Lepisosteus oculatus: one gene and its partners. The protein of the gene in region 1 purifies or fractionates together with the protein of each later gene. This does not show direct contact. Links are inferred from orthologs where the notes say so. Each region holds a gene or a part of one and is shown on either strand. Other genes may lie near its edges.

Region 1 (7,596 bases):
CCTGACATCCACATTCAACCTTTGTCCTTTCACAGGGGACAGAGTAGACAAATGTTCATCCTGGGCTGTCCTGCCTGTTCAGCTCTGTGGACTTGGAGGCTCTGGCAGGAGGGTGTGTGGCTGGTGACGAACTCACAGTGGAAAACACAGCCCTGCCACGAGTGGGCCTGAAAGAAGAAGATGAGTAATGCTTCAGATGACGGGAGATTGTTGGTGTGAAAAAAATCACTGATTCACCATGTGCTACAACAGCCTGCTTCTTTTAAAAACAGTGTTGAAAACTGCTATCAAAAAATATAATCTTACCAGCACACGCTGAGCTCGGTAGCACTGGTCTTTCCATGTATGGTTGCATTTCTGAAGCCCTTAATTTTCATGTCAGCTAACAGAAATGTATAAATGTGGGAAAGATACCACCAAATGCTGTTGTTTCTTAGAATATTATCGCATTATATGTCCTCAGGTTGTCATTTTGTTGTAATGTTCTGGATGCTTTGGCTCAGTTCTTACTTCACTACGCTTGAGGTTAATGTCTCTAAGCCAGTGGCGGCTGAGTTCCGGCGTGACTCTTGAGCTCAGAGAGAGCTGGAGTTGAATTTGATTTTACAAGGTTTGCCCGGTTCCATGCGTGTAACACAATGCAGGCCTTGCCATGTTTTCAACATGGCTATTAGGACTGGGGCTGTGGGCTGAGATGGCGACATGTGACAGGAAAAGGAAATGAGGTATGTAGCCCTGCGATGTGATTGGCTGAGTTGAGATATCAAGCCATAAAAGTGACAGGAAGAATGCCAGTGTTGGCTCTTTCTTCATTGAGGCTGATGAGCTAAGAACAGCAAGGTTTCAGTGGCAGCAAAATTGGTACCGACATGAAAATTACTTTAAGATATTATGAAGTTAAACTGGAAGATTCCATAGAGAGGTGAAAGAAGCCCAGGTAATAATTTTGAAAACCTAATAAAATGTTTGAGATTTAAATGTTATTGACTCATAGTGGTTGTGGAACAACGTCTTTGTGGGTTTTTTTAACATAGTACATTCTATTCTTATTCATTCAAGGCAAGCAAAATGTTTCTCTTGTATCAAGTTAAAGTGTTGCTCTGTTTTAAGATGAACATCCTAAAGAATAATAAAATGTACAGTGCAATTGTAGAAAGATATGGAATTGGAGGGTACTGTGCTTAGCTTGGTTTCTGAGAATACTTGTTAAACTGTGCAAAACTTGGGATGCAAATTCTGCGCAAGAAACATGAGGTGATATTACAAGCCATGACGCGCTGCACCAGAGTGTGAACTGATAAGCCTCTGCATTTACAGTGTAGAGCTGAAAAGCAAAGAGTGATGAAATCTTTCACATGATTCCTGGAACACAGCTCTTACAAATAACAATAATGCTCAGTATAAAGCTTTAATAATTCTGTTTAGACCTTTTCAGAAATAACACACACAGATGGTGCACACACTAGTGCTGTAAGTACGATCCGTGGGACAGCTGCTAATCTATACAAAAAGGTATGTTTTGGAAGAGAATCTTTTCTCTTTCCTTCATGACTTTACAAAGGAAAAATGTTCTTGTTGCAAATATGATGTTTACTTCTAAAGTTCGGAATTTCATCAATGCTATGGGGAGGATGGGGGTGCAGTGGTTAGCGTTGCAGTCCCTGGGGTGCTATAGGTGTGGAGTTTGTCTGCTCTCCCTGTGTTTCCATGTTCTTTCTCAATGTGCTCTGGTTTCCTCTCAAAGTGCAAAGACATGCTGGTAGGTTCATTGGTTTCTAGGTAAAACTGGCCCTGTTGTGAGTGTGTCTGTGTCTGCGTGTGCTCTGCGCTGGACTGGTGTCCTGTCCAGGGTGTATCCTGCCTTTTGCTTGTTGCTTGCTGGGATAGGCTCTGGCTCCCCCTTGACCCTGAATTGGATGAAGCAGTTAGAAAATGGATGGATGTTATTACTATTATAGGTGTTACAATTAAAAAGGTGTTGACCAATATATTTTTAACTTTAACAACCAGAAAAGACATTTGAATGCCTTTTGATTTCAGTTCTGTTAAAGAGTCAAGAGGATATGACCCTGATAGACATAATGCATTGACTCCAGGAGACAGTCTGTGCTGATGTGGCTCCTGTGCCCTGAGTCATTCTTCAGCAGGGCGCCTTTAACCCCAGTTCACTCCTGCCTCTTGTCACAAGCTTGATGCTATGATCACACTGCTCTGCGGAACGTGTATGCGTTTTGTACAGCTGGACATCGCCCATGAGAAGAGGTGGGAAAGCATGGAACAGCTGCTTGTGAGCTCAGGATTATGAAATGGTAAGGGGGAGTCAGAAATAGCATGCAGAATAAGACCAAGGACTCTGCTTCTTCCCGTTAAGAATTGTGTGCTTTTAATTGTACGCGTGTGTGCTCTGTCTCTGTGTGTGTGCTTTAGCTTGTGGGAAGTGGAGTAAACCATTGTTTAGACATTATCAACTCGATCAAATGTACTGTAAGCGCTGGAAGAAAAGTCCTTTGAAACTAACACGGAAATTTACTTCGGTATTTTTTCCCCCACAAGGAACAGTATGTTCTTGGCCCGTCACGCCCCCGCCTTCACTTTCCAGGTAAAGCCGGCCAGTCCCGTCTCGACCTGCCGGGAAGGAAGCGCGGCCCTTTCTAGCCTCGTGATCAGTTCGCGCGGAGAACTAGGGGGGGTCCGGTTCGGGCGAGGAGCGCCGGGACCGCTGCGGAATTCTCGGCTTTGAGAACTGAATTCCAAGGGTTGAGGTTTACCGACCAGCCCATGGACCTCAGTTCTGGAGCTTGGGGTTTCTAAACGACACCGCTGGGACTCACACTTCCCTTCGCGCCTTTCTGAGTTGGAAAAGTACAGGGGCTGCGTCTGAAATGCAAGTGTTGTTTTTCTTTGGTCTTCAGTCCGTGGGGAAGCACAAAAGGCGTCTTGGAGAAATTGCAGACCGTATAAAAAGGACTGGCGGTGTTAGTATGTGTCATTCTGTTGCTGTGCAGGTCGTTGCTCAGTGGATTTCAAGCTGCCGGACGATTTCAACAGACAGAATAGAACTGAACTTAATGTTCCTCCCCCACATACACCCTCTTTGCCCGCAGGCCAGCAATGGCCTAGCTTTTTGCTGTTCTGTTAGGAAACACCGTAAAACTTGGGGTGTGTAGGTGACTTCATCCTGCCCACACCACTGGATCAACCCTCAAGTTTCGAAAGGTTAGATTTATGCAGAGATCCCTTGAAGAGCAAGCTGGATCACACGGCTAGCTCCTACACCAGATGCAAGCCTTGCTAGTTTCACAGTCCCGGGGTCAAACAGCTCTCTTTGTTAACCGCTAATGAGTGCCAAGAAACGCGATATGTTCTTGCGAAGACTTCAGGAAATATTTGAAAATTATGTTAGTCTTGCCATTTAAATTAAGGTTGGAATGAAATCAGAAAGGTGGCAATGGATAGATCACCCCATTCGAACATCATTGTGTGATGCTTTACGTATAACGCAGCTGATTTCCATTTTATATTGGCTACAAAGATAATGTTAAAACATAACACCCCCATAAACAGATCGACGCGCAATCGCCTTCAAATGTATTGGCTTCGCTGTTAAAGAGCTCCCTCTACCGTGTTCAACTGGAAATGAAAGTTTCGTCTAGCTTTGGAGACACGAGCTGTAGTTATTTTTAATCCTGTGTCCCTCTAGAAATGCTTTTAGGTAGAGAAAAATCAGTCGTTTACAGTGCTGACCCGGAGAGTGCTCACTTTGCTCAAGTAAAAGCGCAGCACGTGCCCTACCTACGCCTCGAACCCGGGACCAGCGCCCTCCCAGCCCTACCCACTACTGCACTGGCCAACGGGGCTGGCAGAGTTCTGTTTTGTTTCTGTTGTTATTTATTAAAATGTCGATATAAAATGTACTAATATAAAAGTATAACTTATACATTTTAGTTGAGTGTATGTAACTTCGCTCCCTACCAACCATTTAATTCAATATTATAGCAACCACATAGGATCGTTCGACAACGATAAATGACTGTTTTGCAATAAACATTTTTGCTCTAACTTAACATTATGCGATTGATTTCTTCTTCTTCAACCTCCAGACCTGACTTATGGTTTAAGATGTTTTTTTGAAAAACCGTTCGGGGCATTCAGCCTCTGTTGTACTCGGTTAACTATTGATACTGTGCTAACAGCGTTTGATTTATGCTTTCAACATTCACAACTTTTTGGATTTAGAAATATTTAATTTTACTCGAAATATAATTTATAGGAAATTAGCCGAGTGTTTAGACTACGTCAGTCCAGGCAGGTTTGCTAAAACATGAACTTCGCAGCCGTCTTAAAATTCAAACTTTTCTATATATAAAAATATAATATAGGTCAGCGCTACAGCAGCAAAATATAATACAATAGTATACAATAAACTATATAGGTCCGTGCAGTAATATTGTTCTAGTATAATTTGTAATAAGTAGGCTACAGGTTGTACAATAGTAGTTACTTAATAAATCAAGTTAAGAAATATTACGTTTTACAGAGGAAAATTTAAGATTTTTTTTCACAAATACTTCAAAATAATCATTGAGACTGTGAATCTCAGTCAGATTATGGTACAGAGAAATCTGATTCTTAACGTGCTCTCACGACTGAATCAGTCAGGGACGAGAAGGTGGGCAGACTTGAACCAGATTTTTTTTTCGCCATTTTGAAACGGCATTTAAATAGTTGAGACAGGCAGAACATCACCACATATTTGCAATCGTCCACTCCCCTCCATCTGCACGCTAATTCGGTAACAAACGGCAGCAGGGGTTTCGGGAGAGCTCGGTTAAGACGGACGACAAAGTCTTCAGTATCAACCGCCTGCCTCAGGAATCATGATTCCCGGTATGTCATCTAAAAAAATCCGCACTGAAGGCAAATACAGCATTAGCTAATTCTGGGGGAGAAATAATTGTGCACCTTGGTTCGGTTCTGTCCAGGGTTCGGTGGAGGCAGCGCGGAAGACACCAGATGGTGTTTCGCACAGGTGAAAGGTGACGTGGAGGTCAATGTCACAGAAGGTAAGAAGTCACCTGGCTACGCAATTGTTGTTTTACTAGGTTTTTATAAAAAAAACATTCTCTGTATTTAATTGTTTGACGCTCGAAGTAGTCCTACGAAGTGTTTATGTTGATTTAAAAAAATAACTTGTCTTTATCAAATGAGTTCATTCTAAACGGCGTGTTTCGGAAGTTGTTTTTTTTTTCTTCACACGCCTTTACAGCAGGTGTTGTAAGCCCGGTCGAGCTCATAAGTATATTGGATTGTGTTGTTTATTTCATCCCTCCCACCTTTTTTTTTTGTTTTGTCCTGTAAAGTTATATTCCTCTGAGTGCTATCAAGCATGGAATATGATGCACATATTTGTTTTTATCAGCACTCTGTTTTTAAACATGGTGGTTTGGAGGCGTGGGAGAATGAATAAAAGTATGTTGCAGCGTAGCACAAGTCCGTGTACGTGTGTCTGTGGAAGCAGTATCTCCCTACAGGTCAGGTAACTTGAGTGGGAAAAGGCGTTCTTTATAATTTCTTCGTGGAGTTGAAGGCATTACATAACCTGCTCTGACATACAAAAACGCTGAGATGGTACCTGCATGGAGGAAAAATAACTGTTATCTGTTTTGTACTGCCCTTCAACAACCACGGTTTAAGCTGGGGACATGATTTCCTTATGCTTTCAGTACATTTGGAGACCATACTTCGGTGTATCAAGGCTTGTCGCGGGTGTCTTTGACAGAGAGGGGGAGTAAATTTTAGAATAATATGACTTACAGTTGTACTGTACTTTATAACATTGAACGCCGAGACGTTTCTATGGAAACCTGAACGATTCCGGTTTTGACGAACATGTTGCGGATCCTCATTGAGTGCCTTTGCCTGTAACTGAGCACCGATCGTCGGAAACCGGTCCTTGCCCACTTTCAGTCTGAGCAAGCTCACATTTGGGCGAGAACGCCTTTTGATTTCAGTATTGTAATGTAAGGGGGGCCGCTTATATACATCGATTTATTATTAGAGTCAGGAACACGGTAACCCCGTAGCTCGAAATAGCTGTTTCTGTCAAACGTATCGAATTTCTAGGACGGTATGAGACGCTAGGTTTGTTTTGCCCAATAATCACTTGGTTATCAGGGCATCAAGTGGGAGACGAGAATCGGTTGTCGTGGCGGAAGGTTTTTAATTCGAATGTCCTAACGGGGGTGTATCTGTTATATCATGATTTTATTTCGAGGTTTTGATGGGCCATCAATCCAGGAGTCTAAGGGTTAAGGAACATTTCCGATCTTGACTGAAATACCACATAAACGGATGTGTCATGTCGATAAGAGCCGCGGCGCGCAGTTTGTCTGCCGGTCGCTGCCGAAGCCGTGTGAGGTTTGAAAGGTGCCGTGCAGAGAGAGATCGGTGTGTATCCGGGCGAGGTGCTGTCGGCGGCGGAGCCCCAGCTGTGATAAGCCCAGAGTCTCTGGGGGCTGAAAGATCAGCTCATGGAAGAACAGGAAGAACACCGCAGTCCTCCTCTTGCGGGGGACTCCGCAAAAATAATACAACAAATGCCAAAGGCTATTGTAACGACAAAACGTCCCCTCTCCTGTTTCGAATAACCCCCCTTTTCACCTTTCCAAACATATCTGTCTATCCGTCTATATATAGAAACCTCTATTTCATAAATATTCATTGATAGTTTTCGGGCTTCCTAAAAAGCCGTGTAAAGCCGAGATAACTGCTGCGAGAGCGCGCACGGGGGAGGCGCGCTTCCGTGTGCCGGTGGAGTGGGCGTGAGGTAAATACCACTTCCCTGTCTCCAAGCTGTGGTTTCAATTGTAAAATGCACGGTTTACCGGCAAGCTTAAAATATGGATACCTCGGCACATTAACAAAACAAATAATTGTCTTCTGCAGCGGAAATCATGTCGTATTTAGGCCTGTTCCAAAACAGGTATTTGCATATTTTACACAAAGGCGCCGAGGCGGATAGCGCGATGCTGGCTGTTGTACTAGCGGGATCCGACGGTCGATTCGAGGCTCAGAACTGCGTGGAGCTCGCATGTTCTCCCCGTGTTTGCGTGGGATGCCGTCTACGCTTAGACTAGCCTGTTCTCGCTTCTCTTGCGGGCTTGCACCCCGCTTTGGGAGAAAGCTTTTCAGCCTCACCCTAAACCCTGTGCCAAAGAGGCTGCGGTTTGCCTCCCGCCCTCGGCAGAAAAGCACCCTTCCCAATTCTAGGACGGCTTGAACGTTAATTATCAAAGTTCACCACATTGGGATTCCTCCGGTCATACGCTGTACAGCTTTTCCGCTTATTGATACTTACTAATTTACTGCAGATTTTAGTCTACCTTGACTCCCGTGTCTTCTCTTACTAAAATGGATGACCTCTGTATGTAGCTTATTCAAACGCTAGCGGAAATATAACTGTATTATATAATTATAACGATATTATTTAGAAAGCGTGACGCATTCTGTGTACATAGGTTGTAGGACGGGCACTGTGAGCTACGCGTTGTAGCGCATCCTTGTTGTAAATGAAGAGCTTTAGGGAAAATAGCTATG
Region 2 (6,660 bases), on another chromosome or scaffold:
AAAGTCCAATTTTATCAAAAAAGGCAGAGGTGTAAATACTTTCACTATTGCTCAGGTCAAATGCGTACGACACCCAAGGTTCAATTTCACATTACGGTTTGTTTTTCCCTTAAGCGATTTTGCACGGAGAACCCGTATAGCCAAGAGAAAACGACGAATATTGCAACACAGAGGGAGTTTACACAACAGGACCTTGCTCCTTACTCCGTTCTCACAGTAAATACGGAAGTTCAAGACGTAAACAAGAATAAAAGATGGGTAGTCAAATGGAGGATACGTGGCTTTCACGCCAAGGTTGTGAGCGGCGAGACCGGACGCTTTCTAATCCCCGAGCAGAGCAGCCTTTCAGCTTAAGAGCCCCGAGGCGCCATGACCTTTGCCCCCACAGAATAAAGACAGATGCATTCAGCACCCCCCCGCCCCCCCAAATACATTCCAGACTCGCAGCCACGTAACGGCCACTACAGATCACTTCAGCTTTAGTGCACTGGAGAGAAGAGGCAGAAAGCAGGGATTTCATGTTCAAAAAGGTTTTAATACGTGTGTAACACGCAAATAAAATCCATAATGAAGCGCAAATACCAAAATACAGATTCAGGAAGAAAAGAATGGTCTGTACAAAAAAAACATACAAATATATACAGGTCTTTATAAAACAAAGACTTTCAACATCCCTAGGACCTCGCCTTTAAAACATGTGGCTACAAATGAGTTTAGCACCGATTCTTTGATCAAGTAATACATGTGAAATAGTAACAGCTCGCCACATACTATTCTTTGAGGTTTTTAATTCCTTGAACCGGGACTTCCGCAATGAACGACAGCGTTTAATTCCGGGATCGTTTCAAGGGTTGTAAAACAGTTAATCGAAATAAAAGTGCAAAGTTACCAAAGGGGCGAGGAAATCTCTGAACACACTTTTCCAGCTAAAACGTACATCCCGATCCAATTAAACGACCCCTTCCACTCGAGATCGCGTCCACTTTATTAATCCCTGCGTCAGGACCAGCACCAGTTCACAGTCTACAGCCCGATTCAGGCATGCCCCAACATAACGCGAGTGGAAACATCTCCGCGCGGCTCGGGAAAGCCCCACGCCGCTCTCCACGTGGTCGGGCACAGAGAGGGGGCCCAGCCTCTCGGGCAGGGGGGAGGCGATGGCGCGCCCGCCTGGTCACAGCTTCACGACAGATCCCTCAACACATTTCCACACCGGCCAGGTGACCCTCCGTGGCATTAAAACGCCACGATCGCCGTGCTCCAGGGGTTCATGTTCTTGAGCATCTGCTCGCAGCAGATCTGCCCCGAGGCGGAGTCGCTGTCCCCGGCGGGGGGCTCCGCCTGCGGCGCGCTGTCTTTGCTCAGCAGCCCCGAGAAGCTGGAGCCGAAGATGGTGATTAAACTGGAAACGTTGCTAGTGTCCATTTCTTCCTCTCGCTCGGCCTCTTCGCTGGGGGAGGTCTGCTTGGTTTTTTTGACGGGGGACTCGGCGTGGGGCGCCTTCTCGGCACTTCTCTTCCTACAGCAGGAAGCGGCCGCCGAGTGATTTAATCTGGTTTCGGATGACTCACTCTCGCCACCCTTGACTTCTGCTTCCCCGCAGCCGCCCGCGCCTTCTTCGGGGGGTGTCGCTTCCTTGTAGGGCGGCGTTTCAGCGCCGTGGCTGCGGGCAGGGAATGGCGCGACTGGGGCACACGGCAAGTCCGCCGGCGCCGGGACAGGCTCCCCCAGCGGCTCCCCGGTCGGGCGGCAGCAGCAGGCGGGTGAGGAGGGCGCGCTGGGGGCGCTCTGCTCGCCAGGCTCTGCGGTTTCGGGTTGCCGGCCAGCGGCGGGGCTTTCCAGGGCAGTTGCAGCGGGCAGTGGGTGGGAGCTCTCGGGCGGGAGCGTAGAGCCGCTGTCCGGGGATCCCTGTGCGCTCCCCGCCGGATCGGAGCCGGCTTTGTCCTGGGTAGAGTCCACGATCGCCCCCTCTCCCCACTGCGGCGCCGTGTCCATGTGCTGGGCGTTAAGGCAGACACCCTGGTAGTACTCACTGAGATAGACCTGCCGGGCGCTCCGGAGGACCAAGGACACCAGCAGGTTTTTGTGCAGCTTGATTCCGCCTCTCTGCACCCGGGAGTTGTAGATCTTGCCCAAGGAGATGCTCATGATCCGGTGCGCCTCGACCTTGTACTCCATGGTCTCTGATCGTCAACCAGTCAACTGCGCGGCGCAACAAAGGCGACCCCTCCTGCGGCGGTCCTGGTCCGGGCTGCTCTGGATCACCGCCTGAGCTCTCAGTTCAAAACAAAACCCAAGAGGCTCGTAAAACACGAAACTTTTAAAACCGGTGTAACTTAATACCAGCTACGGAAAAGTTTATATAGCCGCAACTAGGTATGTTGGCACTCTTGTTTTCGGGAGCTTTTTAACTATGATTTAAAACAAATCTAATTAGTTTTTTTTTTTACAGTTTATAAATAGGAGGGATGATCTTTGCTCTGTATACAACCACAATAAATACAATTTTTTTAAATACTACAGACCACCCCTCTCTCCTGCGCGCTTCTAAGGAAATAACTGGACTTCTATTTTTAACGCGATTATATACCCCGGCGTGACGCTTACGACAGCCAATCACAGCGCGGATCTTCATTTACAAACGTTGAGAAATTACGCACCGCCAAGTCCGCCTCGACCAATAGGCGAGCGGGGTGGAGGCTCCGCAGATTTAAATACTAACGAGGGAGATTCTCTTAAAAGGGCAACTCCTGAACCCAGCCGGCGCGAAAGCGTCTCGCCTGACGAGAGAACCACATTCATAAATACACACCACCGCACTGGGGGAGGGTCAGTCAGACTGTCTTCACAGCCCACCTGCAGAGTGAAGAGGCAGGGCATCACTGCGGGCCTGTTTCACAATGGCCGTGTGCAAGGAAAATGCAGAAACTGATAAACGAATAAGTACAGCACCCTGCGGCACTGGAGAACTCACTTGGCCTCACAGTTTAACATGAATTCGCCGCAAACCGACAGCCAGCCGGCTGCAGAAGCGTGCTCACGGACGGTTGTCCTGGCTAAAAAGGTGGTCATGTAAAACTGGTGAAAAATAAGACACAGAGCGGAGATGAATCGAATTCTAATAACGTGTTAAGACGTTAAGAGACGGACAGTCCATGTGGTTGTGTGTCTTAACGTATGACGTTTTTGTTTTTGTTGAGAAAAAAATAAATTCCTTCCAAAGCCTAGGAAGTATCGGTACTCTCCACACTCCGTGGCGTCGCCCGTTTAAGAGTATTTTATTTTGGTGGCGGTTTGCCTGGGCTGATGTAATGCCTCGTCTGTTTCAGGGGAGTCACATGACGCTCTGTGCAAGCGAGCCCCGGACCGTGCTGTCTGGCCGGCGGAGTGAATGGAGCAGCTAGCGTGTGCGGCGGGCGGGGGGGAGGGGTGTTTTGACACAGAGAGCTGTAATGCGGGGGGATGGGCTGGACTGAAATCTAACATTTCTGGGGGAGGGGGTGTGTGTGTGATGAAACAGGTCTGGGACCACTTTCCAGAGTCGCAGAACGACTGCGAGGCCATCAGACCTGACAGATGAGGGCTTCGCTCTGGGCCTCACCGGTCGCGTACTTGCGGGGAGGGGGGGGACGGGAGGCGATCGGAATAGGCCTGGAAGCTGTCGGCAAAATAAAAACACATCGGGAGGGGCGAGAGGTGACGTAGGAACACCACCACCAGAGGCACACTCAGACAAAGAGCAGGAAGCAATTTTCCACTTCTGACTCAGGAAATCGCTTTGTTGTTGTTGTTTTTAATCTAGTGAAATGACAGCAGGTAGTTTCAAAGCGCGGCGGCTCGTTTTCGCTTGAGAGCGCTCCTGGAGTGCGAAGGGCCCCGGTATTGCGGAATGTGCACCCGGCCGTATGGACAGCAGGCACCGGTGTCCCCGTTGTCGGCTCCTGTTCATCCGTGACCCCTCAGCCTGCCCGGGAGCGGCCTTCTTGCCCAGGACCTCACACTGGAGACCCTGTAAGACGAGGACTGGCAACCCGGCGGCGTACAGAAGAAGCGTCGTTGCGGTTTATTTTGATTTTTGTGCGTGTGGACAGTACCGTTTTACGCGCTAAGACGCTCACTGTAACAACACGCCAGATGTATAAGGAACACTAAACGTTAATTTGCACAACAAAAGGTCATTTGTGGGTTTGTCACGTAGAGATCTAGGAACACCTCCGCCCTTTCTTAAGGGTGTTACTTTACTTTAACGTGTTAACAGTGTTTCCTGCTGTTTTCAGGAAAGCGCCTTTGATATAAACGCTTGGGCTAAGCGTAGAATAGAATATTGTTTTAAAAGTTATGAGCAGGATAATGTATTTTGTTCCCTTTGTTTTGGAGGGCTGTGGTACAGTATATTTTTAGGAAAATCTATTTTTACTTAACATCTTGTATAAGAACGGGGATATATTAATGGTTAATTATCGTGCTATGACATTGTATCCTGGTATGTGTTTTAGGGGAAGAACAGTGAATGTGTTCATTTTCTTGATGGCATACACAAAAATCACGTGAAAAGCATTACGCTCGCCTTCTTAAAGTTCACATTTATTATAGTCTTTTTTTCCCCCTTCGGAGTTGAAACCAAGTTTTTGCATGATACGCCCAAATGAGCATGTAGAGATCCGAACTTAATGAAAACCTTATGAATTGCATTCCATGTAAGAATGAAACGGACTGCCAGGACTGAACGTCAAAGATCAGTTCTGCATTGTGTTTGTGTAAATTACCCAGAAGTAGTTTAAATGAAACTGATGCACCCCAGATGAAGGTCACTTTCATCTCTGTGACACATTCTTGGAAACAAAATATTGGTTTCTTCCCCGAAAAGCTCTTTTAACAAAAAAAAAGAAGAATCAGCCTGATGATTCTGAATAATCTTCAGACAAGGACAATTTGGAATCATGCATTCAAAGGCCTAGTAACCAACATAAGGTGATTACTACATTGCAGGAATTAGGCAACACAAATGGCGAATATTAAAAATATTTGGTAACAAACATGAATAAATGATTCCTCTCATTGTCAATATGTCCAATGTGAAAGTGGCTTCTGTCAAAATGTTTGACCTTTATTCCTCAGTTAGTCTTACTCATGAAAATATTCAGAAACAATTAGTTGACAGTAATGGTAAAATATTTTGTTCATCATAAAAACATTATCCACCCATTCTTAGAAAGCCGCTTATTCCTGGTGAGAGTCACAGGCGTCCAAAGACTGTCTAAAAAAAACAGGGTACAAAGCAGGTCTGCACTCTGGACAAGGAATCTTAAGTAGAGACAGGAGACAGTTTGCTTTTCTATATTTTATGCCTTGATGGATTTCTTCATGCGATATAATAAGTATGATTATTTTAAGCACTCGCACAGGATGTGTACATAGCTTCCAGATGCTGGACAATATGACTGTATATGCACAGTTCTAGGGCATGTCTGTACATGCTGAGCCCAAGCCTGCTTGCCCACAAAGTATAGGTATAGTGTGGAGTAGTATGTAAAATGGAGGAAAAAAATCCTCTTCGTTTTTTATGATTTCATGATTAGGAGGTCCTATTCTATCATTTCAGTCATTCCTATTTTGTGCTTTTTAAGGTTTTATTACAAATTCCTCGAGCTGTTCAGACTACATTTTGTTAGGTTTAGGTAGGGATCTGAAATGTGCAAAATGAGAGGGCCCTCACATTTCAATGTCTCTATTTCTCACCAGGGTTTTTCAGTGTAAATGGGTCTTGAAAAAAGTCTCTGTAATACTCAGGAGTCCAAAGAAAGAAAGCTGTTGCTTATTAGCACTGTACAGTCTGTACAGTACAGTGGAAATATGTCATCTGAGATTCTTCGGTTGTGTGCTTCGTGATCTGGACAAATTCCTAACTATAATTGGCTAATGATATCGGCTGGGCTCACACGCTCTTTAGAACACTCTGGTGTTCAATATGTTAGGGCAGAAATTGAACAGAGTATCCATCTTCACTCCATAACCCATCCACCCATTTTTGTTCGCACCGTTCCTTCCAATTCCTGGTCCCGGGGGAGTTGGAGCCTGTCCTGGCAGCAAGCAACAGGTGCGAGCAGAGGCACACTCCGGAAGGGAAGCCAGTACATCACAGGGCACACTCACACAACTCACAGTTCTCCCGAAGCCAAATAACCTGCCGGCATGGTTTGGGGCTGTGGGGGGAAACCGGACCTCTTGGAGGAAACTCGGGGAGAACATACAAACTCCACACGGATAGCACCCCAGGTCCAGAATTGAACCCGGAGGGTCCCAGCACTGTGAGGCAGAAATGTTAACTGCTGCGTCACCACGCCACCCTACTCTACAACCATGTGTCACAAGTCTACAGGCTTCACAGGGTACTGCTCCTGTTACTTTCAAGCGCTCAGTGGCAGCTGTTTAAATAATTAATGGCAAGTAACTAATGAAGAAGACTTCCTGCTCTTGCATCTCTGCGGTGCTTTGATTGTGGCCCAGCATGCATTTACAGCTTTAATGTAATGAAGGGGAGAGCAGTCAGTCTCCCAGGTTTTTACTGCAAATTCAGATCATTTTAAAAACAGGATCCCATCTATTAATATATACTGTGTATCAGTGAAAGGGATTTGTTTTTAAGCCTTGAGATGCTCA
Region 3 (7,808 bases), on another chromosome or scaffold:
TTCCTCATTTATAGAACTAAAAAATTATAATATATCAGCAGGATTTATATGAATACAGAACATTTCTAGTTTAAAAAAGCTTACCAATACATTTGCATCAGACCTGGGGCTATTCCTTCTGGGACTTTGAGATTTGTTCTGTCATTATATTATTCTTCATACGTCACACCATCAGTAAACAAATCGAAAGGTTCAAGCCAGTCATGTGCAGCCACTCTACCCCAACGTGAAAAATGTGAACAGGAAATAAATGCATTGTTACATTTTAAAATGTAAAGCATATACAATATTAAAGTACTTTGTATGTGAAAGAAAGAAGCTTTGAATTTACAGTGTGTAAGATTACATGTGTGTAGATTATGAAACTGTGTTGATGTAAACATGTACACACTACAGTGTACTGAATGTGATGCTCTGCTCTCCTTTGTGGAGTCTGGACTAACTGTAAAAAGTAAAACTCTGTACCGCACTTACAGATTAAGTGCTTTGGTATAACCTGTGTCACTTTGAAAACCCAGTTTTGTTCTGTGCATTTTGTTTAATGCAAATATTGTAAAGGTAAGCCTTTCACTGTTTCTCTTTATAAAGTTAACTTTTACAGAAGTGCATTTAAAGTATTCTTCTCATATTATAAATATAGCAAGTTTCAGACTGTAAATTGAGATACTAAACATTTTAAACCCGATATAAAGCAGGTTTTGTTGGCATGTTCTAAGATGTTTTTGAGGTATTTATAACTTGTGGCATTCTTTAACTAATGAAGTGCAAATAAAATTTTATATTTATTACTCAGCATTTAATGTTGGAACGTTTAATTTATTCTACGTGAAATGTACAAAATTAGATGTACAAGGGTCACCCAGTGTGTAATGCACCACATTTTATAAGGAACGAATTCTCACAGGACAATGCTGTCAGACTGAACTTTTCTGCTTTGTTGCTACTTTCTTGGTGATCCTCTTTTCAATTGAAATGTTAGTCTGAAATGCCGGTAAGTCGCCACCAGGTGGCACTCTAATTCTGGAATATAAGATGTGTCTCGGCTCCTCTTGCCCAGAGGATGGCAAATTTATGCCAGATTCCATGCCAAGGTTCGGTGCTCCTGCTAATCCTCAGTTATTGAAGTGATTTTCACTTTGCTTGAGTAAAATGAAAAAAAAAGTGGAATTAAAAGGATCAGTTCTGTACTGAATGTTTTGGAACAAGGGCCAAAGTCCTGTAATGGCTAGGAATCCAGGTGCCAGAGCAGAGAAGGCCCAATCGAGCCCACGGAGACGTTGTTTATGAACACAGCTCTGTTGATAAAGAGCCCGTACAAGCTTCAAGTGTCCACTAATAAGATCTCTTTATACTTCATTTACAGGAAAATGCAGTATTCATAGGTTTTTCCCTGCTTTTCAAACATGTAATTTTCTGTTTTTTTCTTAAGCGATGTGTGTGTGTGTGTGTAGGGGTGGCACAGTAGCGCACTGGTGAGCCCTCCTCCCTCACGGCTGCTGGGGCCCCGGGTTCGAGTCCAGACCTGGGGTGCTGTCTGTGTGGGGGTTTGTATGTTCTCTCCGTGTTTGTGTGTGTTTTCTCTGGGTGCTCCAGTTTGCTGCCATAGACCAAAGACATACTGGTAGGTTCACGGGCTTCTGGGTGAACTGGTCCGGGTGTGAGTGTGTGCGGATTTGTGTCAGTGTATCTGTCTGCCCTGCGGTGGACTGGTGTCCTGCCCCGGGTGTACCCTGCCTTGCGCCTGTTGCTTGCTGGGATAGGCTCTGGCTCCCCCAGGACCCTGAATTGTAACTGTTAGAAAATGGCTGGATATACTGAAGTTGTGAAAGACAGCATTTCACAGCTGGGGACTCGCTTTAACACTTGCCCATAGATATTGATTTGGACACTGTCCTGAAAAGCTTTCATGGTCAGATTCTAAGTTGAAAGCCTAGGGGAAAATCAAGGATTTTATCAGGTTTTCTCACATTTTTGCTGTTTCTAAATGGACGTCATAGAAGGTAATATTAGGATTGGGGTGTGGGGGGAGCACTATGATCAACTCGAAATGGTATATGTAGCTGGTCAAGTGGTGAATGGGCTAGTAACCACAATGAACCTGAGATTCATGGATAACAGATTTGGCAAACCTTTTCGTATACAACCGTTGTAGTCTGAAAATACAGGTATTATTTTAACAAATGATCTGCTGTCTCTTTAGTGGCCTGCATTATCTCTTGAGCCAGACCTCTTTAATGCACCTGGAAAAGCAATTGATCATCTCCAGCAACACCTGCGATATTAGACAGGCAGGGCACTATCTTGAGAATGAGTGCTGCCAGCTGTGCATTTCACAGTGGTCAATGTTTTCAATTGATCTGGTCAGAAATTCAATAAGTTGACTCCTTCCTGTTACTAGTTTTTGTTGCATCAGTTCCGTTTTACACAGTTTTGCTGTGTTAATGAACCAAATGGTTCATTTACGGTCTCATTTTAATATTTACGGAGGGGATCATACATTCGTTTGATTCCTAGCACCTTCCCTTTGCTGACTGAAAGTCCTGGCATGAAGATAACATGCCTTAGCTCAGTGTATTCAGCATCAGACTTTGCTACAGCTAGCAGCATGTATTGTGTGGTAATCAGTCTTTATTTGTATGTATGGTGTTAGTTCACATGCAAGCCTCAGTAATACATTTTACAGGGTGAACATAGTGATGCCAAAAAGAAACGCAAGATTTTCTTGAATACTATAGTTATAGTTAATGTACTTTCACAAAAAGTGATAAATTTGTTTTAAGCAGTACAGCTGGTGCAGTGGGGCATTGCAACCTGCCAATCACAGGAAAGCTCATTAGGTGCACTTTTACCCAACGAGGTGCAGGTGGAGCAATGCCTGATCAGGTCACCTTTAAAAAGGCCTCAATTCAAAGCTTAGGTCACTGCGAGAAGAAGCCCACACTTAGTCAGTTTTCTGTGCAGTCCATAATGCCTCAGATGGCACCAGAAGCAAGGGAGAGGGCCACTGGCATGCTGCAGGCAGGCCTGTCATGTGCCAGCGTTGCCAGACGCTATGGAGTGAGCCGCTCCACTGTGTCCCGACTGCAGAGAAGGCTTCAGCAGACCGGCAGGACAGATGACCGCCCAAGATCCGGTTGCCCTCGAGTGACCACACCAGAGCAGGACCGACACATCAGACTGGTCCATCTGAGAGATCGTTTCAGATCTGCCACCCGTACTGCGGCTGAACCTGCCAGCAGACACAATGCCCGCATCAGTGACCGGACAGTGAGGCTCCATGCTGCTGGCCTTAGAGCAAGGCGACCTGTCAGAGGCCCTCTGCTCACAGCTCCTAGACCTCACACCCAGCTGGCTTGGGCCAGACAGAGGCTGCGATGGACTCGTCAGCAGTGGCATCAGGTCCTCTTCACAGATGAGTCCCTCTTCAGCCTGTTCCACCCAGACGGGAGGGCCAGAGTGTGGAGGAGGAGGTGTTGCGTTTCTTTTTTCCATCAGTATGTATACAACAACCCTTAAAGTACTGCTTACACAATTTAGTAGACACTCTACAGTATAGAATTTAACAACACACTTAACTGAAGACAGAGTAGCAAGTGTGAAGCTGTAGGAGCAGTACGCTTGTAGGACATCAGTGCCTAATGGGGAAAACGTGATTGTAAAAATCATACAGCTGCTCACACTTGTGTAGCTGTCAGTAACATGAAATGGTCAGATATGTAGGCAGCTGCAAAATGTTCGTAAACGCACTGACTGAAAACAATCTCTTTTAGACAGCTGTTTGTGCCCTAAGGATGCCAAAGCTCTTTATGTGTGGTGCAGCCATGTGCCAGCAGCCCGACTAGAAATGGGAGAATCAAGGAGAAGTTCCAGGTAGGTCAGGCTGTTCAAGCCCAGAGGAATTTAACCAGGACGCTGGGCACCACACCCCAACTCTAATGAAATGTCACGGGACCTTGTCTGATGCCTGGTCTGAGTGATGGTACCCACTACTGTACACTGTACCTAATCACAATACTCGGGAATTTGTTTTGAAAGCTGTGGTCCAAAGGGAAGAGTTACCCCCAACACCTCTTACTTCAGCAGCCTGGTTTTCCTTATAAGTCCTCTTTGCCCAGTACTGACTGGACTCATCCATGCTTAGCTCCTGAGAGATGACAAGATCTGGCGGGCTACGGTCTGGTCATTCTGCTGCTTAAAAGGACCGCAAATGTAGGGTCTAATGGAAAAATTATTTTTTTTAAATAAGAGAAATATGTATGACGAACACCATCCATCCCCGTAAGTCTTAATTTTTTTCAATACTAATGTATAGTGTAAGGAATATTTAAAGCTTCTTTTGTATGTATCCTTATTTTCTGTTTGTAAATATAATGTGAGATGGAGCCCAATAAACAAGTTCCTTGTGACCTCCACACATCTTCGAGGGATACCATCTGTTAATGGCTTTATACCGTGCTTGTGTTCCAGGGATGTAGTGCTTTTTTATACACGAATGCCTACACATATAAGGTGTCAAATCTGAGGTGTCCTGCGTGACTTAAAAAAACAAATCCACGCAACAGTTTAGATTTTATATTGATATTGCAAAGTTAACAACAGTGGGTGTAAAGGCTAGATTGGGCGGTGCCTTTATTATTCCTGTAAGTCTAGGTTAATGCCTTTTTTCCCCCCAGTTCCTGAATAAGAAATTCTCAATCCATGCGGAAACAAAGTGGACAAAGCCTCAGACTCCGTTCTGAAGCTTACGGGCTAAGGCTTTTAGTGCATTAGCGCTTTAATGCCACCCGCAGACACAGCTGCCAGAGAGCGGTCGTGAGTAAGGACGCAGACAGCTCTATGGACTTCCCATTCATTGCCCGTAAGACAAATCTCCTCGGACTTAAAAATAAGAGAGAGGGCGGGGGGGTGAGAATTGATGGTGAAAAAAGCAGGCGCATGCGCTCGCCGGAAAGGCACAAGCGTCAGAGACGGACCGCAGCAGCGCTTGCAGATCTTGCATGTCAGACCGGAGCGGAGAGGGGTGGACGGCTGAGGAAACTGTCCGAGGGGTGGGGGGGACGAGGTAACAGAATGGGGGTTCGGGGGGATCGCTGTCTTGCATCACGGCTGCACATGAATTAAACCCGGACAGAAGACAAACCCGTGGCCCGGCAGGTGGGGGTGACTCGCGTCATTTCGATTGGAAATTCAGGGTTGTTTTTTTTTTTATCCTTGCTGCATTTTCTTTAAACTGGTTCAAGGAGAGTAAAGGGAGGATGAAGAAAGGGGGTGCTTGTACTCGACAGAGGTAATCCATCGCGGGGATGTGAACGCCTGACAAGGTGCGCACCAATCCGAAGTGATGAAATCGGAAAAACAGGACGGTATTGCCGAAGTGATCTGCAAGGGTTATTTGTGTGGGCAGAGGACGGGTCGTTTCTTTCATCACCATTCCTTACACGCGTCTGCGGATGATGGAGAGTTTAAATGGCACCAATAACGAGAGCAAGCCGCAAAACCACCAGTTAGTGGAGAAGAAAAGACTGAACAGAGCGCCTTCCCCTGCGAGACCATTCCTGAAGGATATACACTCCCGGTCGTCTGCCAAACCCCCGGCCATCCCTCCCAAATCTCCCAACCTCTCGAGCAAGCAGCAGCAGCAGCAGCAGCAATCAACAGGGCTCCTGGCATCTCAAAACCGCCTGTCCAGGCGCAGCATCTCCGGCGCCAAAGACAAACCGGCTCCGGCAAAGAGTGCCGCCAAGACCGCGGTACCCAAAAAGGCAGCTAAGACCATCCAACACGGGACGACAGAGCCGAAACTCGCCGGCCACAGCTCCGGTAAAGGGAAAAAAGAGAAAAGATGCGCCGTGGCGGAGGCTCCCCGGGGTTCACCTGGCCAGAGCTCTTCGGTCGGCGCCCCAGGAGGAGCCGGGCTGGGGAGGAGCAGCCATACGGACAGCAGCTCGGACCTGTCCGACTGCCCCTCGGAGCCCCTGTCGGATGAGCAGAGGCTCACCCAGGCGGGCAGCAGCGATGCGGAGTCCGGCTCCGGCTCCGGCTCCGGGTCCAGCGACCGCGACCCAGGGTCTGGCGATCACCAGCCTGTCGGGGCGGCCGCCGCCGCGACCTACGGGAGGGCTCACAGCCTCCCCCAGCTCGGGGAGCCCCCGGCCTCGGTGTCCCAGATACCCGCTAAAGAGAGGGTGTCCTACCCGCTACCTGCTCCAGGACAGTGCGGCGACACGGAACCGCCGGGAAGGAGCCCCGGCAAACTGGACTTTAGACCGGGCCACCCGAACACCCCCACAGAATTCATGCTGCGGGGCAGCAAGGGGTTGATAGAAGAGGACCTGCTGAGGGAGGTCGAGGACCTGCGTTCCGAAAATGACTATCTCAAGGTAAATGCGAATGCGTTGGAATGGATCCCTTCAGCACCGCGTTTGTGTGTCACTGTTTTTAACACACCTGCTCACTGAGGAAGGCATTCGTCGACACTAACCGTTCGCCAAAAAAAATAAATAAATAGCGGTACCACAACTGACGCATGTGCCAAACACGAGACATAGTGTAAACCTGTACATGAATAAGTTCTGTGGTCCGTGTAAGCGCGTATAATAATATAGGCCTTATCGTCTTTACGCGTTAAAACTGGGCAGCAATCAAGTTCTTTACATGTTCTTTTTTGTTTCCTTTTTTTTGTCAGCCTGGATAGTTACGCATTATTGTAACTAGGGGTGACTAAGAAGATGCTGTTTTGCGTTTTCCTCTGCGAGCACTACAGCACTGTTATTACAGTATATTAGCACACTGTGTACTGGATGTGTGGTTGGTGTTCAGAAAAAGCCAAGGCTATGCAATGCGTTGCGCTGCAGCGAGAGTGCAATTACTAGGCTCTGCTTAGGGACATCTGCTTTTCTATTGGTTTTAACCCTTTTGGCGCATAACACAGAATTGTTGCTTTCTTTTTCCGTCTCAAGAGCGCAGTGAAGCCTACACCAAACTCAGTTCAATTCACTTTACTCTTCGTGTTGTCTTTCCCCCCCAATGGCAGCCTGTAATAACTGAATTCCCTAATTACTTGAGCACTGATTGTTACTAGTTTGTCATTATTGTTGCCATCACAGTATCCCAGTTCGTTTTGTTCACTTACAGTATTTACGGACCTTTAAATACTCGTAACACCTCGAAACTCTAAATAGACTCGCATGCGCTTCGCTGCTTTCCGTAATTGGTCTGGAAAGCGACTACATACAGTACACAGATGTTAATACTATTTCGATCATATGTATAGAACCGAGGCGATAATCCAACCTTGTAGCCTTTTACATTAGCGAGTGACTCCAGAGATTTAAAATTGATATTTTTGCCACCACACCGCGATCGCATTTTATGTACGCCCCGGCACTGCAAGAAAACACGTTTTTTTATGCAGCTAGTGAACAGCTATGGGCGTATAGCGTCTCACAAGCATCTTGTAAGATATTTCATGCGGACATCACAGGTGACACCAAAAGCGTGCTGAAATGCTGGCTCCTCTGTAGAGACGAAAAGAAACGTCGCTCGGAGACGTTGAGGTGGCGAATCAAGCTATGGTGTATTGTATATATATATTTTAGTAGCTACATTTAGCCGGAATTATAGAGATATATAGCTCTCAAATGACTTTTTCAAACGCTTACATTTTTAACCAGAATCTGTATAAACCGTTTATTGTACCAGAAGGCTACTCTGTATTTAGTTAAAAATGCTGCAGGCTAGCTTCCCTTCCACATGACCAAATACAAATGAACCAGCTCCGACATGAAGCTGTGTAGCGCGTATGTCGT
Region 4 (7,061 bases), on another chromosome or scaffold:
GTTTTTGGCAGAGATTACTGAAATCTGGTTCCAACCTCAATACCAGTCCATGGGGCTTGTGTGTCTGTTTTTTTTTCATAAAAGGAAAAAAAAGGAAGAAATGTGAGTGGAGAGAAAGCCTTTCTGCTCATGAAAGGCAGCCAGTGTTTAAACAAGGTCAGTTCCTTCAGTTGTCTTTGCTCAGACATGCAAGACAGCCTAATTTAGACAATATTTAAAAGCAACCTGCTGGGTGTGTCTCCTCTTTTTCCCTCTCACGAGAACTCCACACCCATCCATTTTCCTAAAAATGCGTGAATCTCCGATGTTCGTTATTATTTTTACAGATTTTTCAAGAGTTGAAAAGCCTGCCATTTGAGAGATGCCAAAGACACCCTGCTTGGACAGTGGACAGTGGAATATACCAGTCCAATGCTTCCTTTTTAATTTGGATGGGTTACTTTTCCACACAGAGCACTTTCGCAAAGCACTTTGAGTAACAATATTATTTACACTTCCTGGGGGTGGTATTATTCAAGTCAAAGCAGTAGAATAAAAGGACAGATTTGGGTACATCTGTGTATATTTAAATTTCCGCCCTTTTCCAAACCTGTGCTTAAAATCTTACAATATGGTTATAGTGACATGTAACAGGGCATGTAGTAGATGCTACATTTCTTTCATGTCTTGTATTAATGAGTCATAAACCAGGAAGAAAGGTTAAACTGTTTTTAGGCTCTTAAGCTCTGTGCTGGGAGGGATACTACTCTACAAACTCTGCACCCTAGTGTTCCTCAAAACCCCAGCTGAATATCACAGGGCTATTACAAAAAAAAAAAATCGGAAATTCTGGAGTATGCCAAGGCTGAGACTCGTGAATCTTTTAATTTTGAAGTCTTGAAGTCTTTAATTTTTAATTTTGGACTAAAATCTTTCAGCGCTACAAAAAAAAAAAAAAAAAAATACGACCGTGAGGACACAACAACAATAAAAGAAATCTGCAGATCTGTGCAATTGCATACAGATACACAAACGCATGTCTATGTGTACGCTGTATGTGCATTATTTGTACACAAGTGTTAACACATTTGTAAATTTTAGAAACACAAGACGCGAAATTTAATTGTGGCCATAAATCTGTTAGGAACATATATTGTTGGACAAACCGAGAAAATCGAGCCATAAAAATAATTCGACCTCGCTCTCCTTATTCCCTATGGTGCGGCTCTTGTTCCATCATTAGTGTCCAGTGTTGGAGATACGGCTGTTTTGGACACACTCCATTACACTGTGTCCGGATCTAGGCTGTGTTCTGCCCTACAATGTTAGGAAGCCCCAGCTGTGCTCCGGTAGTGTTTTTCTCCCCGCTGAGATCGGCAGCTGGCCACATCTGGAAGAGAGCGCGGCTGTGGTGCAGCAGCGCAGCGTGTGGGGTTCCGTCTCCAAGAAGCAGCGTCTGTCTCTGACCTGCGGACTGGCATTTAAAGATCTACCTACTTGCGTGAAAGTCTGTTAATCCGAACTTGCTCTCGGTTTATCAATGCTTTCAATAGTTGATCCGAATGAAAAATTAGCTGAGTTTTGACCTTTGAAAAACTCCATATGTGTATGTCTCTCTTGGGGTTCTGTTTAGTAATCCGTGAAGGTTGTCAAACGAAAGACACCGACAATCTTAACGATACAATGCGTTGTATGTTTGAACATAACTATGTTTTTTTTAATAATGGAAGGTAAAATGAAAATCTTAAATTTCACATGCTATTATTATTATAGTATATAGTAAAAGTAGGAATAGCGTGCCAGTGGAAAAGGGGAAAATGATATGGGATGATATTACAGTATATACAGAAACAAAGTCACAGACTGATAGTCGCTAAAGAGAATATAATGCTCTATCTTCTAAAATTGGCATTTAAGACGTAAACCACAAAAAATAATTGGCCATGGATTACTTGTCAGCAAGAAGCTTTGCGCCGTAAATAATTACTACGATGTCGATTTGTAACATTAAACGTGTACGTTTCATGAATGGACCATTGACCTTTTTGTCTTGAGCATTTAACCCTCGCATTGAAAGAATCAATTATTACATATACAAATATATCAGAAAGAACAGAGCAGTTTGATTTTATTCCTTTTGAACTCATCTCCATTTTGACCGACATGCATATATCCAAAACCGTCCCTGTGACAAAATCATTTCGGAACTATGACATTCCACAGTGCAAATGTCCCTCTTTAGTGTCACCACCTCCCTCGCCTGTTCCGCCTCATACAGCTAAAGCACTGTTGTTCATTCAGGTGACCGCCTTTGCGCACGAAATTACACACCTACCTTTAATTGAGTTTTCCTTTCCTTGAAGTTGGTGCTGAGTGCAATTTTATGACAGTTTTCTTTTGTGACGAGCAGCTCTTATCCTCCGTCACCGGGAGCGGTAGTTTCATCACAAGTGTCAAAATCCTTCTTTATCTGCAACACCACTTGCAATTCTAATGTTGAAAACAGGTTGAATAAAGGCGGTGATATTCTTTCCTCGCCTCCTTAATTTATTCTTTTGAATCCCCGTCCTTCCGTTCTCTCAGGTAAGAGCAATTACAACAAACCTCCCTTGAGCGCCGCTCGACCAGTCAGCAACATCAACGGCACTTTCAATAACCACGTCAGTGTTTTAAACAAAGCCGTGAAAGTTGGACGGTGCATCGCCTATCTCCAGACTGCGTGCTTTCCCTTGAATACAAATGACTCCGCTCGAAATCCAACTGTCACCACAAAGGTGTGTTTCTTCGATTGGAAGGGGGCGACTTGAAAACGTCTGGAGGAAACTCGCACATCGCCCCATCCCTCTTTATCCCAGTGCAGTACTTTCTCTAATCGTCACGGCTCTCTCTTAGAGGTAGTCCTTCTGCTGGACTTGAATTCAGACGAAAGGGATTACAACGTGTGACCGACAGGGAGAAGAGGGGAGGGAGGCAGCGAGCCCAGGCATCTGTTATGTATTTCCCCTTTGATCCAGCGTCGACTCGTATTTTCCAGCATCTCCTGAACGCATTTTGTTCTGTGCTTTCTATTCAGAGGAGCCTGGAGAGGTTATGCCAGTGAGAGCAGCCTGATTAAACGGTATATATATGTATTCTTTTTTTTTCTTTCTGACTACAATTTTAATCATCAAAACCGGAGATTGATACTCGAGCCAAAAGCCCTTTATTTTTCTTAATCACTGCATGTGAAATCCCACGGTTATTTTCCTTTTTTTTTAGAAGCAAAAGGAAGATCGACGTTTGAAAGACCTCGGCTTCCACAGAGTTTACGGAGTTAGCTAACCATAACGGATAGATAGATATCTTGAGTAGATAGAATTAACAACTAGGTAAAATGTATCTCCGGTCTCTGAAGATCTCGGCGACCAGCGCTAACCGAGAATAAAGACAGATAAGAGGAGTTCTTTGAACTTCGACTGGAAAGCAGTGCAAAAAGACTGCAAATGTTATGTTTTATCCGTGTGACAGGGGCCACACACAAAAGACAGAAAATATAAATCTTGAGGTCGTGAAGGTTTTCTTATCCACTGTAAAATCACACATGGAAGAAAGTGCAGGGTTTATTTCAACGGAGAATTAAACGAATTTTTACCGCCTCTTTCATAACACTAGTGTTGTACAAACCTAGTAATGGAAACTGTGGTTTAAGAACTCAGTAGACCATTTTCCTAATTCAGGCCTGAACTCTCAGCATCTTTATCAAGGTGGGGCATATAGAGAAAGAGAGATCACTTTATTAACCATATACAATTTCTTGCATTAGGAATTCATACAGTATGTGTGCATATCACAGCTTGCTCTCCATGAGAGACAGACAGGGAGAGAAGCTTGGGGTCAGAGCACAGGGTCAGCTATTGTATAGCACCCCTGGAGCAGCTGGGCCTTGCTCAGGGGCCCAACAGAGTAGGATTCCTCTGCCAGCCACAGGACTTGAACCAGCAACCTTCTAGCCACAGGCACAGACCCTTACCCACAGTGCCAATTGTTCAGCTACAGAAAAAAGCAACAGAGGTACACTGTCCATCCTTGTCAACCGTTCGAGGTCTATCGCTTTTCTAACATTATCCAGTCCAGTCTTTAAAAACAAAAACAGTTACCATGTATAGTCAGGTCCCTTGGGTCCCACACACCCATCACTCTGTTCTACATTCATCTTTCATTTTGGAGAACTGGTACCAGGCTGTCAGATAAGATCACTTTATTAGCCATATACAATTTCTTGTATTAGGAATTTGTCTTTTCACATACTATATCCCAACTTGCTCTCCATGAGACACACAGACAGGGAGAGAGAAGCTTGGGGTCAGAGTGCAGCCATTTATACGGTGCCCCTGGAGCAGTTGGGGTTAAGGGCCTTGCTCAGGGGCCCAACGGAGTAGGATTCCTCTGCCAGGTGCAGGATACAAACCGGCAGCCTTCCAGCCACAGCCGCAGATCCCAAGCCACGGATATGCCACACCACCCCTTTGAGATTTGAAATGTGCCAGTTTTCACCCAAGAGTTTTATTGTTTTCCCAGGCTTGTCCTTTTTGTAAGATCTTTCAGACATTTTAATCCCACTTAATCCAACAGGCCCTTTGAGCACCAGGATAAAAACTGGCTCATCTTCAAAGCATCAGTGCCTTGTTTGCTTACAGTCATCCAGTTTGTACACACTGTCTTGAAAAGGTGTTGGACCCAAAGCCCTGGAGGACAGTTGTCTTTACCTTGAAGCCTTTCTTTTGTACTTATCAATCAGGGGAAAGTGTACTGTAGCTTCGGATTTGAGCTCCCGCTGCAGACACTGCTGTTGTACCTTGAGTGAGCTCCGGTCCACCCAGCTAAGAAACTGGGGACCAGCACTGCTGGGGATATGAGTGCTGGCCTGGTTAGCTGCTGTGGCTTGATATGAAAATTGCTCAACTAAGGAAATCTTTGCCATTTTCAGTGACACACACATTTACCTGCATTCAGGAAACATGTGTGAGCAAGTAAGTTTGGCATGGTCCATTTAGTGTGAAGAGTCAAAGCTATTTTAAGAAAACACATCAATGATTTTACATTACATTTATTTAATCTGAAAAAAAAAACTTTAGGTAGAACAATAATCGAGAACGGACATCGTGTATTACTGTTTTCTTTCCACTTTTTTGCACAAAAGGTTGTGGGGTTATGGATTGAGTTGTTGTTCATATTATCTAAGCCAAAATTGTCACTTCTTTCAAGTGGATCAGATCCAGTTAGCTTCCAAAGACTCGACAGGCCTCCTCTCGTTTGTAAACATTTTGTTTTGGGGGGGGGTGGTTTTCATTCGATGAGCTGGCAAATTCAGCGAAAGTTACCCGCGGACCCAGCCCAGGGTGTAGTTTTGGCGCCATCTGTTGATAAATAGAAAGTAGTACAAGAGGAGCAGCGTGAGACGCGTGATCTGGGAGCGGAAATTTGACTTTTTTTCTGTCTTTGAAGTCATTTGTCTTGCAAATGCTAAACTTTGTAAACCTGGAAATATTTAATGATACTCCAGCCACGGCTGTTCTCCTAGTCACCACGACGATAGCTGGGGAAAACAAGGGAGAGAGTGTTTTTTTTTATTTCCCTAAATATTGAAAGAAGAGTTTTTGTTTTTATCAAGAAGATCAGAATAATGATAAATTCAGTTCTATCACCATTATGGTGTCCCAGAGGTGCAATCAATTCTGCATTGATGAAGAAAATAATGAATTCAGTAGTTTATTGATAGTCATGCACGGATTTCTGGTGCCAATTATGTTAGATATGTTAGCATAAAAGTCACATTCTTGCTTTTTGTACGAGCTTTGTCTCTGTGACTGACAACTCAAAGCCGGGAATGATTATTAGTCCTCATGAATTCAGCCTTGTTAATTGGAGGTCCCTGTTATTCTTCAAAGAACCCCGCGGGTAAAAAACCTTGCTAGTTCAAATGCAGCCTCTGATAGCCCGTGTCTTTGGTTTGTCTGCTTTTGAGGATTTGTGGGGCATACCTGTTTGTAGTTATAATAAAAAAGGTTAAATCAAATTAGCTTTCTTTAGGCGCACTAGTTCCTGAGCTTCTCTAAGTGAGGCAGCAGCCTTCTCACCTTGTTGCATGCTCTCTTCAGACCTCAGAAGAGGTCTGACCAGCAGAGCTGGTGAGCCTGTAGGGGGCGCTCTTCTGCTCTTCCTAATCTTGAATTTGCAAATCCACGTCTCAGTGTGGTGAGTGGAGATAGGGTGCTGTAGGAGGACTTTTGGATGAGTAAATTAACCAAGGACCTGACCTCCCAGTTCTTTGTATGTCGCAGTTCATAAGAGTAGATGTGTTACCCCTCCTATTATGGTATACTTCCGCTCCGGGCTTGTACAATCTGGCCTCCCTAAAGTTCCAATCTTTATTCACCTGGTGAAGGTGTCTCTCACTCCTCCCCTGATCTGCTGTGTGGAGGGGCTGCTGGTGCAGACTGGAAGGAGGTGGGAGTAAGGGCCTTGCAGAAGGGCCAAACGGAGTAGGATTCCGCTGCTGGCTAAATGATTTGAACTGGCAACCTTCTAGCCACAGGCACAGATCTGTAGCCACAGTGCTACCACATCACCTAGGTAAGCTCTACACTTACAGTAAGTGCTATGTTCGATGTATATGTAAAATGCTTACATACGTAAAGTGCTCTTTCATGTACTGTAATGTGCTTTGAGATTCATTGAGAAAAAAAGAGAAATATAAATGCAAGGAAGTATTGCTGTTAAAATTATTAATTAATGAGACATACACAACCGACTCCCCTTACTATACATTTTGTAAATGTCCCCTTTTGCTCAAGTGTAGCCTGTCAGCTTTTGGAGTGCATCTTCTTTAAGGGGGACAAATAATTTCACTAAAACAGCTCCATCTCACCGTGGAAGTGATAGGAAAGCTGGAGATCTCAAGAAATGACCCAGATCAGGGTTTAGATTTTGTAACAAGAGCTGTAGCTTCTTTTTGTGCCTCAGCTGCTGTCTCTAGACTCTTTCCCAGTGCCATTCTCTCAGCCTGCAGAAATGAAGAATTCACAAGTGTGTGCAGTGCAGCA

What was found.
Region 2: the proteins of serine/threonine-protein phosphatase 2A 55 kDa regulatory subunit B beta isoform (region 1) and ier5 purify together in Homo sapiens (affinity purification with mass spectrometry; 4 studies listed by BioGRID and IntAct, with this or other methods). This does not show direct contact. The link is inferred for Lepisosteus oculatus from reciprocal best matches to the Homo sapiens genes PPP2R2B and IER5.
Region 3: the proteins of serine/threonine-protein phosphatase 2A 55 kDa regulatory subunit B beta isoform (region 1) and microtubule cross-linking factor 1 purify together in Homo sapiens (affinity purification with mass spectrometry; 4 studies listed by BioGRID and IntAct, with this or other methods). This does not show direct contact. The link is inferred for Lepisosteus oculatus from reciprocal best matches to the Homo sapiens genes PPP2R2B and MTCL1.
Region 4: the proteins of serine/threonine-protein phosphatase 2A 55 kDa regulatory subunit B beta isoform (region 1) and sertad4 purify together in Homo sapiens (co-immunoprecipitation; 3 studies listed by BioGRID and IntAct, with this or other methods). This does not show direct contact. The link is inferred for Lepisosteus oculatus from reciprocal best matches to the Homo sapiens genes PPP2R2B and SERTAD4.

Annotation. Positions count from the first base shown.
Region 1 is NC_090706.1:27,877,841-27,885,436, forward strand, and holds the start of serine/threonine-protein phosphatase 2A 55 kDa regulatory subunit B beta isoform, read left to right. Parts: upstream 1-4,578; 5' UTR 4,579-4,877; coding exon 4,878-4,887; intron 4,888-4,982; coding exon 4,983-5,063; intron 5,064-7,596. UniProt on the Homo sapiens protein: The B regulatory subunit might modulate substrate selectivity and catalytic activity, and might also direct the localization of the catalytic enzyme to a particular subcellular compartment.
Region 2 is NC_090704.1:30,252,432-30,259,091, forward strand, and holds ier5 (immediate early response gene 5 protein), read right to left. Parts: upstream 2,574-6,660; 5' UTR 2,179-2,573; coding exon 1,237-2,178; 3' UTR 515-1,236; downstream 1-514. UniProt on the Homo sapiens protein: Plays a role as a transcription factor. Mediates positive transcriptional regulation of several chaperone genes during the heat shock response in a HSF1-dependent manner. Mediates negative transcriptional regulation of CDC25B expression.
Region 3 is NC_090701.1:56,252,467-56,260,274, forward strand, and holds the start of microtubule cross-linking factor 1, read left to right. Parts: upstream 1-4,805; 5' UTR 4,806-5,450; coding exon 5,451-6,380; intron 6,381-7,808. UniProt on the Homo sapiens protein: Microtubule-associated factor involved in the late phase of epithelial polarization and microtubule dynamics regulation.
Region 4 is NC_090697.1:26,749,068-26,756,128, reverse strand, and holds the start of sertad4 (SERTA domain-containing protein 4), read right to left. Parts: upstream 3,020-7,061; 5' UTR 2,315-3,019; intron 1-2,314.